Callithrix jacchus: one gene and its partners. The protein of the gene in region 1 interacts with the protein of each later gene in a pairwise test. Links are inferred from orthologs where the notes say so. Each region holds a gene or a part of one and is shown in the gene's direction. Other genes may lie near its edges.

Region 1 (4,301 bases):
GGCCATATAGCATTTCACATAAGGTCTTCCACTGCTTGGATGCACAGACTTTATTTTATTTATTTCATATTTTGACAGAGTCTCGCTCTGTCATCCAGCTGGGAGTACAATGGCGCGATCTCGGCTCACTGCAACCTCCACCTCCCAGGTTCAAGTGATTCTCCTGCTTCAGCCTCTCGAGTAGCTGGGACTACAGTCACGCACCACGCCCGGCTAATTTTTTTGTATTTTTAGTAGAGACGTGGTTTCACTGTGTTAGTCAGGCTGGTCTTGATCTCCTGACCTCATTGGATGCACAGTATTTTATTTAACATATCCTCTACCGATAGGTTCCTTCTACACATCAATTTCTTTTTCTTTTCTTTCTTTCTTTTTTTTTTTGAGACTGAGTCTTGCTGTGTCACACAGGCTGGAGTGCAGTGGTACAATCTCAGCTCACTGCAACCTCTGCTTCCTGGGTTCAAGCGATTCTCCCGCTTCAGTCTACCAAGTAGGTGGGACTACAGGCACCTGCCACCATGCCCGGTTAATTTTTTTTTTTTTTTTTAGTAGAGACGGGGTTCCACCATGTTGACCAGACCGCAAGTGAGCCGCTGGCCTTGGCCTCCCAAAGTGCTGAGATTACAGGCGTGAACCACCGCGCCCGGCCTCACTTGAGAATTTCTTTTAAAACACCACCATTGGTGGCTCCGGCCTGTAATCCCAGCACTTTGGGAGGCCAAGGCGGTTGGATCACAAGGTCAGGAGATCGAGACCATCCTGGCCAACATAGCGAAACCCTGTCTCTACTAAAATACAAAAAAAATTAGCTGGGTGTGGTGGCGCACGCCTATCGTCCCAGCTACTCGGGAGACTGAGGCAGGAGAAGTGCTTGAACCCGGGAGGCAGAGGTTGCAGTGAACCAAGATCGCGCCGCTGCACTCCAACTTGGCGACAGAGCAAGACTCCGTTTCAAAAAAAAAAAAAAACCCACCAGCAAAACCCCACTATTCCCATTTCACTGAGAAAGACACTGAGGTCCAGAGAAGGAGCAAACGTTCTGATAATTCATGCTGAAAACTGCGCCCTCAAATTCCGGTTTCCCAGCTCCCATCCGGACTCCAACTGCTCGCACAGTCCACACAGGGTACCTGTCCGCCCAGCCGGCACCCGCAAGCCCCGGGAAGCCCGCCGCTGAACCTCAAGTTCTTGGATTTTCCTATGCCACCTGGAGGAATCTGCAAACCTCTTGGCGTCCGTCCACCACACCTCCGACCAGCAGGTGGCACTGTTGCCATCTCGATAACATAGACTCGTCCTCCTTGTGGTGCTCATGTTTTCCTAAGTCCCTGGACACTTCCGGCACTGGAGGAACTTTGGTGCGGCCGGATGCGCAACGTGGGGACTCAGGCGCGCAAGGCGGCACGGGTTGTTTCCGCCTTGTAGGTGGTCTGTATTGAGAGTCCGCGGCGAAGGGAAGATGGAGACGATACTGGAGCAACAGCGGCGCTATCATGAGGAGAAAGAACGGCTCATGGACGTCATGGCCAAAGAGATGCTCACTAAGAAGTCCACGGTAAGTTGGGTCTGGTCAGGGGCTGCGTGTGAGGCTGGGCCTCTATCCCGTGTTTGACCTCTGAGAGCTTGCTTTGGGCCTCAGTCTCCCCACGCTCCGCCCCCGTCTCCTCCGGAGCTCCGTCTCCGAGCTCCGGTCTTGGTAACCTCCTCCCGGAGTCCAGTGCCCCAAAGGCCTTTCCGCCTCAGCTGCTAAAACCTGAGCCGGTGAGCTCCGCCCTCGGGCGGCCTTTTCTACTCCGGAACGTAAACTAACGGCGTTTGTGTCACCGTTTGTTTTTTCAGCTCCGGGACCAGATCAATTCTGATCACCGCACTCGGGCCATGCAAGATGTGAGTGCGCTGCTGTCTGCCTCTTTTTGGGTCGGCGAGGGCGGGAAAAGAGAGGGGAAGTGAAGTGCTTGTCTCAGCATGAGCCCTGGCCAAAGGTAACCGGATTGGCCAGTCGAGGGCTCTCTGTCTGGGCAGTCCACCGGCTGCCGAACGTGAGGGTGCTTCCTCACTTCTCTGAATGGGGAACTCTTACGCATTCTTAATTACTCGGGAAGATGCCCATTCTTTTAGTTTCTTTTCTTTTTTTTTTTTTTTTTTTGAGACGGAGTCTCGCTGTTGTTACCCATACTGGAGTGCAATGGCACGATCTCGGCTCACCGCAACTTCTGCCTCCTGGGTTCAAGCAATTCTCCTGCCTCAGCCTCCCGAGTAGCTGGGACTACGGGTGCGCGCCACCATCCCCAGCTAATTTTTGTATTTTTAGTAGAGACGGGGTTTCACCTTGTTGACCAGGATGGTCTCGATCTCTTGACCTCGTGATCCACCCGCCTCGGCCTCCTAAAGTGCTGGTATTAAAGGCGTGAGCCACGGCGCCCGGCTCTTTTCTTTTCTTTTTTGAGACCGAGTTTTGCTCTTGTTGCCCAGACTGGAGTGCGGTGGCGTGATCTGGGCTCACTGCAACCTCCACTTTCCGGGTTCAAGCGATTCTCCTGTCTCAGCCTACCGAATAGGGGGATTACAGGCGGCTGCCGCTACACCTGGCTAATTTTTTGTGTTTTTGTAGGATGGGTTTCACCATGTTGACCAGGATGATGTCGAACTCCTGACCTCGTGATCCACCCACCCCAGCCTCCCAAAGTACTGGGATTACAGACATGAGCCACCGCGCCCTGCCTACAAGTGCACATTCTTTTTTTTTTTTTTTTTTTTTTTTTTTAATATTTTTGAGACGGAGTTTCACTGTTATTACCCAGGCTGGAGTGCAATGGCGTGATCTCGGCTCACCGCAACCTCCGCCTCCTGGGTTCAAGCAATTCTCCTACCTCAGCCTCCCGAGTAGCTGGGACTACAGGCTGCGCCACCATGCCCAGCTAAGTTTTGTATTTTTAGTAGAGACGGGGTTTCTCATGTTGACCAGGATAGTCTCGATCTCTTGACCTAGTGATTCACCCACCTCGCCCTCCCAAAGTGCTGGGATTATAGGCGTGAGCTACCGCGCCTGGCCCAAGTGCACATTCTTACAGCATCCCGTATCCCTTGGATGTGCAAACAATAGTTATGAGGAATCTATGACACAAGTGCACAGCTACAATCCTTCTCTTAAAAAAAAAACATATATTAGTGTTTTTCTGTCAGGATACTGTTTTAAAGTTTTTTGGACTACTAAACTGCATTTGCCTTGTAATTGCTCAATTTATTACTTTAAAAAAAGATGTTATATAAATTATAAAAATTGGGTGATGAGTAAATGGAAGTTATGCTACCTTCCTTACTCTTAACGTATGTTTGAAACCTGTTTAAAAAGGAATAAAAGACCTACTTGGATCTTCTGATTTACAGGAGAGAATCAGATTACAAGCCCTCAGCCCCAAAATACTCTGAAAACTAAGGATTTTTTTTCCCTTGGGTGATTATTTGATGTCAAAATCTGACTTGACCTCACTTGGTAGTAAAACCTGGCCTGAACCTGGGATAGGCTTTTTATAGTCTTTTATTTATCCCACTTAGTAGATAAGGCATAAGGTTTACTGCAGAACTGTGTGCTTCAGATTCCACTAGGGATGTTACATAATATATGATACCTTTTCTGAACTTAAAAAATTCCAAATTCTGAAACAAACCTGGTCCCCAAAGTTTTGGAGGCATGACTACATACCTGTACCATCCTGAATTAATATACTTTGACTCCAAAGGAAGCCTATGTAATGTTTATTTAGCCTGCCTGCTCCTCAGTCAAGCTTTTTGAAATGGTGAATATCATTATCTTTGAGGATTTTAGGTGGGAACTGTGTTTAGCCAATGAGGATGAATCTGTTACAGACAGAGTTAGGCATTGGTGGTATGTAAAGATAGGAGCCACCTCTTAAATGATATCATTTTGGTAATCTTCCAGTCAACCTATTTAAAAAACTAACCTGGAATCAGGGCTGTGTGTTAAAAGGTACTAGGAAGTACAGGAACTGTTAAGACCATATCCATGTCTCTTGAGGTTGCCCTTGGGCTTTGACTGGAGAGCCCTTGTTGTTTGCTTAGCTCTACAGTTGTGCAAATTGTGTCGTTCTGATGGTTTTGTATTTGCCTTTCAGAGGTATATGGAGGTCAGTGGGAACCTGAGGGATTTGTATGATGATAAGGATGGGTAAGTGACAGTCACAGCTAATCTAAGAATTGGTGTTTCTGAGGAACCCTAGTTAGAGGACTGACTTTGTGCTCTATCTTCTTTGAATTTTTCCTGAAATTGCAGATTACGAAAG
Region 2 (4,339 bases), on another chromosome or scaffold:
TCTAGACTGGAGTGCAATGGTGCTATCATGTCTCACTGCAGCTTTGAACTACTGGGTTCAAACGATCCTTCCACCTCAACCTCTTGAGTAGCTGAGACTACAGGTGTGCACCACTACTCCTGGCTTGTTTTATTTTTAATTTTAATTTTGTAGACACAGGGGCTGGCTACGTTGCTCAGGTTGGTCTCAAACTCCAGTGATCCTCCTGCCTCGCCCTCCCAAAGTGCTAGGATTACAGGCATGAGCCACCTCACCCACGACACATTTTTTTTTCTGTATCTGACACCAAGTGTTTGTTGTTCTGGAGAGTAGGTCAGACCCTCTGGACAGGATCTCCCTGACTGATTGGTTTCTTCGGGCTGGCCCATTCTGTCTCCAGATTTATTAATGATTCAGTGAAGTGCCTGTCGATCTTGTTGCCCTGGAAATCATGCCTTCTCTTTGAGATGACATTTCATATCCTTACTCTCCGATTCACCATTCAATCATTTACAAATATGAACACTTCTGTGTACAATAAATAGAGGATACAGTAGAGAGACGTTTCAGTGGAAGAGATACAGATATTAACATGTAAACGAGTGGAAAAAATGAGATTACTTCAGATGGTGATAAATGCTATGACGTTTCCTGCAGGGTAATGAGACTGAGTATGAGATGGAGGATGGTGTGGGGCTGTCAGAAGGGTGGGCTGGGGACGTCTGTGAGGATGGAGAATCTGAACTGAGCCCTGCATGTGAGGAACGAGCCAGTCATGGTCTTAAGAGTTTGTTCTCAGAGGAAGGAACTCTTCCACTCACACACCTTGTGAAGTGGAAGTTCATTGCTTGTCTCCAGAAAGACAATGGTATCAGTTAGGCAGGAATGGTTGCTGTGGCTAAGTACATGACGATTAAATGGTAATGTGGCCGTGTTTCCAACAAAAATTCCCAACACGTCGTCTTACAGGTAGCGTGAGGACTGGAAATATTTGAAATCAGGGTTATCTTGGACTTTCCAAGGCACGTGATTACCATAATCAACAGGCTACAGAGGGTTGGCCTGACCCCACATTGTTGGTATGGAAACTGCTCCCAGTTTCTAAAAAGCCAAATAACAGGTGAACTTCTGGAATAAAATCACTTGCCCTTTGGAATCATATTTCTTTTCCCCAACAACATTACATGTTCTTTCCTCAGCAAAAAGTCTAGATTTTACACATTTTTGAAGCCCTCGAAGCATTTAGCAGAGTCTTGGGCATACAGAAGATAGCAGGGTCCCGTGGCTCTGCCTGAAACGCGGAACCCGGTCTTGACTTTTGAGTGACTGAGCCCTCTTGGTGTCGCACTCCGGCCGGGCGTGCCAAGCGGCGGTTCTCCCTCCCGCCGCACGGGGGCGCAATGGGAAGCCCGCGTAGTGAGGAAGAGAGGCTGGAGCCGGTCTTGCACTGGGGAGGGCGCCGCTCCCAGAATGCACCTGGCATCAACACGGCGGCGGCGGTGGTTTCCAGCAGACTCCGGGGCGCCGAGCGGACTGGCACGCAGCCCGGGGACTCTGAGGCGGGGTGCAGGTGTTGAGGGGCGACTGGAGCCATGGCGGAGTCGGCGCCTGCTCGGGTAAGAGGCTCCGGCGCGCGGGCTCGAGGGCGCGTTGGGGAAGGCGGAGCCCCCTGCCCGGGGCGGAGCTTCGCGGGTTGGACGCAGCCAGGGCTTTGGTTTCCCCCGGCTGTCGCTGGCGCCGGTGAACGCGGACCCTCCTCCCCGCGACCCCAGTATTCTGCCCCTTTTTCCCCTCCGCTTCCTTTTGCGAAGGGGTCGGAGCCTCAGCGCCGTGTGCCTTTCCCCAGAAACTTCTTCGAAGCTTGTTTTATGTTGTCGGATTTGTGACCCTGGCCACACATTTTCTCTTTCGTGCCAAGAGAGAGCCCTTTCCCAGGTTGGAGCGGTGACGCAGGTTGGAAACGGTCTCCGTCGCCACGAGTGAGCTCTTCAGCTGCCCCAGAGACCCCTGGACTTGCCTCTCTGCGCCCACTCCTCGTTGGTCCGATGTATTGCCCGTTTCTCCGGTGCCACGGATTGCTGTCCTGGAGTTGAAGCCACAGGTTGAAGTCAGCCTGGGCTTCCTCTCTTTGAGGACGGGTGTTACCTACGGTGTAGTTGCTGCATTTTGTTTGTAAACCTGTCCAAACTGTCTCCTTCACTCCCTCTTCTCCCGACCTTCTCTATTCTGGGAATGTCAAGATACGGAGCTTGTCGTGGGGAGAATCCTAGCTGTGGAGTCACGAAGCGAGTTCAGCCGTAATTCAGCTCTCAGCTATCCATTTGGGTGATTTTAGGCAACTGTGTTTGCCTCTGGGTCTCTGTTTTGTTTTCCTAACTGTAAATCGGGAGTGTTAGAGTAGTTGCTAGATGATCTCTGTGGTTCCAGCTCCGACATTCTCATACCATTCCAAAGTAGTGGTTAATTTAATCACACCAGAGGGTTTGCAGCGGAAAGGGCAGCTGGGACTAAATTGATTTTTAGTGAAGTGTTCCTTGGTCTAGAAACACTTTAAGAATCGTGTTAGATCTTTGTGTGAATGGAGGGCAAAGGAGAGTCTGTGGTGAAAACTTTGCCATGACCAGGATGCACTGTATTTGATTCTTGTAGCAAGTGGGTAAAGAACTAAAAAGAGGATTGGAAGACTTAGAGAACACAGTGTTTGTTTTCAAGGAAGTTAACAGTTGAATTGGGAAGACAACACGCAAGTGTTTACAATATTTACTTCATCTGCCTCCTGTAAGCTAGGCTGAGCGAGTCAAAGACCTGGCTTTTCCACAGGTCTAGGTCATGTTAGAGTCGGGCAAGAGGACTCTGCCACAGTTCTTCCTACCAGGTCACTCCACAGTTACCTACATGTCATCAGTAGACCTTGTTAGGAAGAAGCCTTAAAGGTCCATCACAATCCCCAGCTATGCCTTAAATAATGTGAATTTGTCATTGTAGAACTTAAATTGTTCTTGAGCCTGTTTCTATTCTCAGACGTCTCTTCAGGTGAGGATTCTGTGCCTCTCGTTTGACAGGCCGAGTAGGTGCCCTGAAAAAACAAGTAAAAATGCTGGAAACCCCCCAAATAAATGCATTTGAAATGTATGTTAGTAAAGAATACTTGGACCCCAAAACTAAGTGAAAGAGGGAACTCGAAAGTGATAGAGTTCTGAAGCCAACTTTGAGGCCAAAGTTGCTGAACATTCATCTTTGGTGTTTATGACTCTAGGGACCTACAAAATACACAAATCTTTAGAGCCTAAGATGGAAAGTCTAAGAAGCTCCCTAACCCAATCCCATGAAGCAGAGACTGGAAAGGGCAACAGTCTGTATAAGGGTGAACTGAAAGTTAAGGTCTGACCTTCAGATGATTGCAAAGAAAACTGTTAAACCTTGGCAGTGAGAGATGGTTATGAGGTGCCCCTTGAGAATTCATAGTTACCCTTATGTCGGTTTGTTACTGAATTCATGCTACTTGGATGGTTCAAGGAACCTGAAGCCAAGGGTTAAAGTAGAGCCCTCAGCTCTGTATCCACAATAAACACGAATCTTTTCTGGAGGAATCTACAAGTAACTCAGGCTTCTCATAGATAATGTGAGTTCATGATAAAAAATTGCTGGCCGGGCACAGTGGCTCATGCCTGTAATTCCAGCACGTAGGGAGGCCTAGGCAAGTGGATCACTTGAGGTCAGGAGATGAGCCTGGTCAGTATGGTGAAACCCCTTCTCTACTAAAAATAGAAAAATTAGCTGGATGTGGTAGTGCACGCCTGTAATCCCAGCTACTCAGGAGGCTGAGGCAGGAGAATCTCATGAACCCAGGAGGCAAATGTTGCAGTGAGCCAAGATCATGCCACTATGCTCCAGCCTGGGTGACAGAGCAAGACTCTTGTCTCAGTAAAAATAAAATAAGTAATGGACAACTCTCAACATTTCAGTTATTAGAGTTATTGGATACAGATTATAAAATAACCATGTTTAGTATATTTAAAGATTAAAAAAAGGAGGGAAAATGTGAATAAAGGCCAAGAGACTATAAAGATGACCAAACATATTTGAAAAAGAATCAAATAGAATATCTAAGAATGGAAAATATAATTAACATTGAGAAGTCAGTAGTAAGCTTTACTTAGCATGTCAGACATGCAAAGAGAGAAATAGGCGACTGGGTGGTGGAGGTAAATAAATTATCCGGAAAGCAGCACAGAGTTCAAAAAATGGAAAAGAAGGTAAGAGATAGGGAAGAATGAATGAGAAAGTCTAATAGTCATCTAATTAAAATTCCAGAGGGAAAACACACAGTCTGGAGTCTGTGTTTCTTGAGTAGCTGATG
Region 3 (3,617 bases), on another chromosome or scaffold:
AGGCTAAGGTGAGAGAATCTCTTGAGCCTGGGAGGCTACAGTGAACTGTGATTGTGCCACTGCACTCCAGCCTGGGCAACAGAGCAAGACACTGTCTCAGAAATAAAAAATAAAAAAGTAAGCTAGGAAAAAAAAAAATAGCTGACATAAATGAAAGCCTGTATCTTTAAGAGTAGACAGAACTAACCTAATTACTGATTGTCAGATTGAAGTGACCCAAGTAGTGGTTGTAGAGTTCCTGACTGCCTCAGTCTACCAGTTATTGTCAGTTTTACTCTCCATCTTCTTTGCAGATACGTCTTTTGATTAGCTGTTTCGTCAGTAGTGATCCCCAGAGTTGCAGCCCTGGCATCCCTGCAAGATATTTGCATGACAGTTGTTAAATATAACTTCATTAGGACTAAATTAAGTTACAGTAGTTAATTCAGTTTGGAGAAAGGCAAAATGACCCATATGAAGAATGAAAAAATATGTATCTTGCTTGAGGATGTGTAGGTGGGACATGCAAGAAATCACACTTTTCCCAGCAGTGGCAAATCTTCTGGATGGATTTTGTGTCTATAGTTTCCTTGTTTTCCTGTGGGAGTTAATACCATAAATTTTGGCCATAATTGTTCCTAAGCATGTAAGCTCTGCCTATAATTTTCTTGTCCATTACTGCCAGCACTTCCTGCCCCTGTGTGGTTTAAAAGACAGTGAGGTGGCCAGGCATGGTGGCTCACGCCTGTAATCCCAGCACTTTGGGAGGCCAAGGCGGGTGAATCACCTGAGGTCAAGAGTTTGAGACCAGCCTTGCCAACGTGGTGAACCCGTCTCTACTAAAAATGTAAAAATTAGCTGGGTGTGGTGGCGGGCACCTGGAAGCCCAGCTACTTGGGAGACTGGGGCAGGAGAATTGCTTCAACCCAGGAGATTAGAGGTTGCAGTGAGCTGAGATCATGCCACTGCACTCCCGCCTGGGTGACAGAATGAGACTTCATCTCAAAAAAAAAAAGTGTGGTATGGGAGATCGGTAGTGCTCAGTGGTGGAGATGATCTCCAGTGATAACATCCCTGTGGGATAGTTGCTGTGATGCTATTATCATTATGATTTTAGTGTTTTGTATTCTTGGCTTTCCTGTTTGCTTCCTGTCATGGGTAAGTTAGTCACCTTTCATTTCCCATGACACATTTATGTCTTTTTTTTTCTCTTTAGTAATGGAACGGCGGTATCCCAAGGAAGTCCAGGACCTTTATGAAACAATGAGGCGATTTGCAAGAATTGTGGGGCCAGTGGAACATGACAAATTTATTGAAAGCCATGCATGTAGGTGGTTTTTGAGCCTTGAGCAGTATTTGTGTATTTATATAAGTAAGAGAGAGAATGATGTTTTATGTGAAGTTCTGTAAATAAATGGATATTTCTGTCTTTGTTCCCCATTATTACAATGAGACAAATTTGGGACTGTGGGAGTCGCGAAGAGAGGTTAAAAAGCCCTCATGGCTTTCCCCACCGCCCCAGATAAATAATAATTTAGTAGTTTTTCTCCCCACTTTTTATCATGGGTATTTTCAAATATATATAAAAGTAGAGATAATCATATGATGAATTCCTGTGTATCCATCATCCAGCTTCAGTAGTTTTCAACACATGGCCAGTCTGGTTGCATCTTTATCACCCACTGCCTTCCCTCCTGCCCTCAACTGGATATTCTGAAGCAAATCCCAGACGTTTTATTTTGTTTACAAATATCTTAGTACTAAAAGTAGTTTTAAAAATGAGGACAGAGATGGATAGCTTGTGGAGATAGTACTTCCATCGTTCTCTTGTCTTTCTGTGGTATTTCTGTGAGAGCACTACCCAGTTACCATTTGATTTTTCACCATAAAAAATTAAAAGTTGTTAAAATAAAAAACTAAATAAAGAAAAAAAACGAACAAAGAAAATTAAAAGTTATAAGGCTGGGTGTGGTGGCTCATACCTGTAATCCCAGCACTTTGGGAGGTTGAGGTAGGAGGATCACTTGAGCCTGGGAGTTAGAGACCAGTCTGGGCAACACAGTAAAACTCCATCTCTATAAAAATACCAAAGTTAGCTGGCATGGTGGTGCATACCTGTAGTGTCAGCTACTCTGGAGGCCGAGGTGGGAGAATCCCTTGAACCCGGGCAGCGGAGGTTGCAGTGAGCAGAGATCACGCCACTGCACTCCAGCCTGGGCAACAGAGCGAGAGCCTGTTTAAAAACAAAAAAAAATGTTGTTATGGCAGTAAGGCCTAGACTCTTAATATAGACTCTGGCTTATTCTGTACCTTTCATCATGGCATTTGTTCATGTTGCCCCTAAGTTTAGTTCTGAGAATGTACTGGTACTCTACCAAGGCCCTTATTCTCATCATAAAATATTTCTTACGTAGCATTGCAGACATTTATCTGAGCCAGGTTGGTTGTCCTCATCAATCACCTTGGTTGGTTGGCATTCTTTGTGTGACTTGTACCAGGTGACTGATCCTTTACTTCCTGTCCCAGTTTGGGACACACCCCTGGTTTATGTGTCAATCCAAATAACTACACTCCATGGATTGTCCAGGCTCTTCCTTCATTCTTTTAAGCAGCCAAATTTGAATGTTCTATTATTTAATAACCCAAAGAGTACAACCTGATCTGTGTGCTCAGAGGAGGCAAAAATCTTTGGTTTATGGAAAACACAATGCTCTTATGTTCTAATAGGGAAAAAGCTGTAAAGAAATTTACTGGGGCTTGCACACAGAGCTCTTGTCCTTCCCTTGTATCAGGGCCACATCAAGTAATATCAGACAGATTTCATAAAAGAACTTGGTCATGTGGGTAGAACTTTTAACAGAAGATAGAGCAGGCAAATTTGGTTGTTAAAAAAATTATATGTATTACTTTTGTAGACAAACGAATTCAGCCGTTTCACTAAGGTTTCTAGAAGACAGTTACTGCTGCTACCTCTGGAGACCGCAGCTGGAAGACAGCTGGAGTAGGTTTTCCTCAGCTCTTGGGTAAAATTTCTAATGAAAAGTTACCAACAATAGGATTCTTCAAATGAACTTGCCTAGTCTTTTATAATAGGCAGAATTACTGAAAATGCTCAATAGCAAAAGTGCTCACTGATGTTTCTTTTGTTTCTCTAATTTTTTTTCCTTCATTCTTTTTGGGTAAAACAGTGGAGTTTGAACTCCGAAGGGAAATCAAGAGGCTCCAAGAATATAGGACAGCAGGCATTACCAATTTTTGTAGTAAGTATGCTTCAGCTACCTACCGTACCTGAGGGGAAGTCTCTTCCTAACACACGGAAGAAGTACCTGAGTTGTGCATTTAAAAAAAAAAAACTTTCTGGCCAGTTGTGGTGGCTCACGCCTGTAATCCCAGCACTCTGGGAGGCTGAGGTGGCGGATCACGAGGTCAGGAGTTTGAGACCTGCCTGGCCAATATGGTGAAACTCCCATCTCTACTAAAAATACAACAATTAGCTGGGCACGGTGGCAGGCACCTGTAATCTCAGCTACTCATGAGGCTGAGGCAGGAGAATCGTTTGAACCTGGGAGGCGGAGGTTGCAGTGAGCTGAGCCCCTGTCATTGCACTCCAGCCTGGCAACAGAGTGAGACTCCATCTC

Evidence for each region.
Region 2: the proteins of SF3A3 (region 1) and ZNF212 interact in binary tests that used the Homo sapiens proteins (3 or more experiments, as listed by UniProt). The two-hybrid records come from large-scale screens. The link is inferred for Callithrix jacchus from reciprocal best matches to the Homo sapiens genes SF3A3 and ZNF212.
Region 3: the proteins of SF3A3 (region 1) and TADA2A interact in binary tests that used the Homo sapiens proteins (3 or more experiments, as listed by UniProt). The two-hybrid records come from large-scale screens. The link is inferred for Callithrix jacchus from reciprocal best matches to the Homo sapiens genes SF3A3 and TADA2A.

What each region holds. Positions count from the first base shown.
Region 1 is NC_133508.1:74,563,339-74,567,639, reverse strand, and holds the start of SF3A3 (splicing factor 3A subunit 3), read left to right. Parts: upstream 1-1,403; 5' UTR 1,404-1,459; coding exon 1,460-1,555; intron 1,556-1,839; coding exon 1,840-1,887; intron 1,888-2,611; exon of another isoform or gene 2,612-4,133; coding exon 4,134-4,186; intron 4,187-4,291; coding exon 4,292-4,301. UniProt on the Homo sapiens protein: Component of the 17S U2 SnRNP complex of the spliceosome, a large ribonucleoprotein complex that removes introns from transcribed pre-mRNAs.
Region 2 is NC_133512.1:98,505,906-98,510,244, reverse strand, and holds the start of ZNF212 (zinc finger protein 212), read left to right. Parts: upstream 1-1,446; 5' UTR 1,447-1,449; coding exon 1,450-1,595; intron 1,596-4,339.
Region 3 is NC_133506.1:97,709,612-97,713,228, forward strand, and holds part of TADA2A (transcriptional adapter 2-alpha), read left to right. Parts: intron 1-1,195; coding exon 1,196-1,306; intron 1,307-3,167; coding exon 3,168-3,239; intron 3,240-3,617. UniProt on the Homo sapiens protein: Component of the ATAC complex, a complex with histone acetyltransferase activity on histones H3 and H4. Required for the function of some acidic activation domains, which activate transcription from a distant site. Binds double-stranded DNA.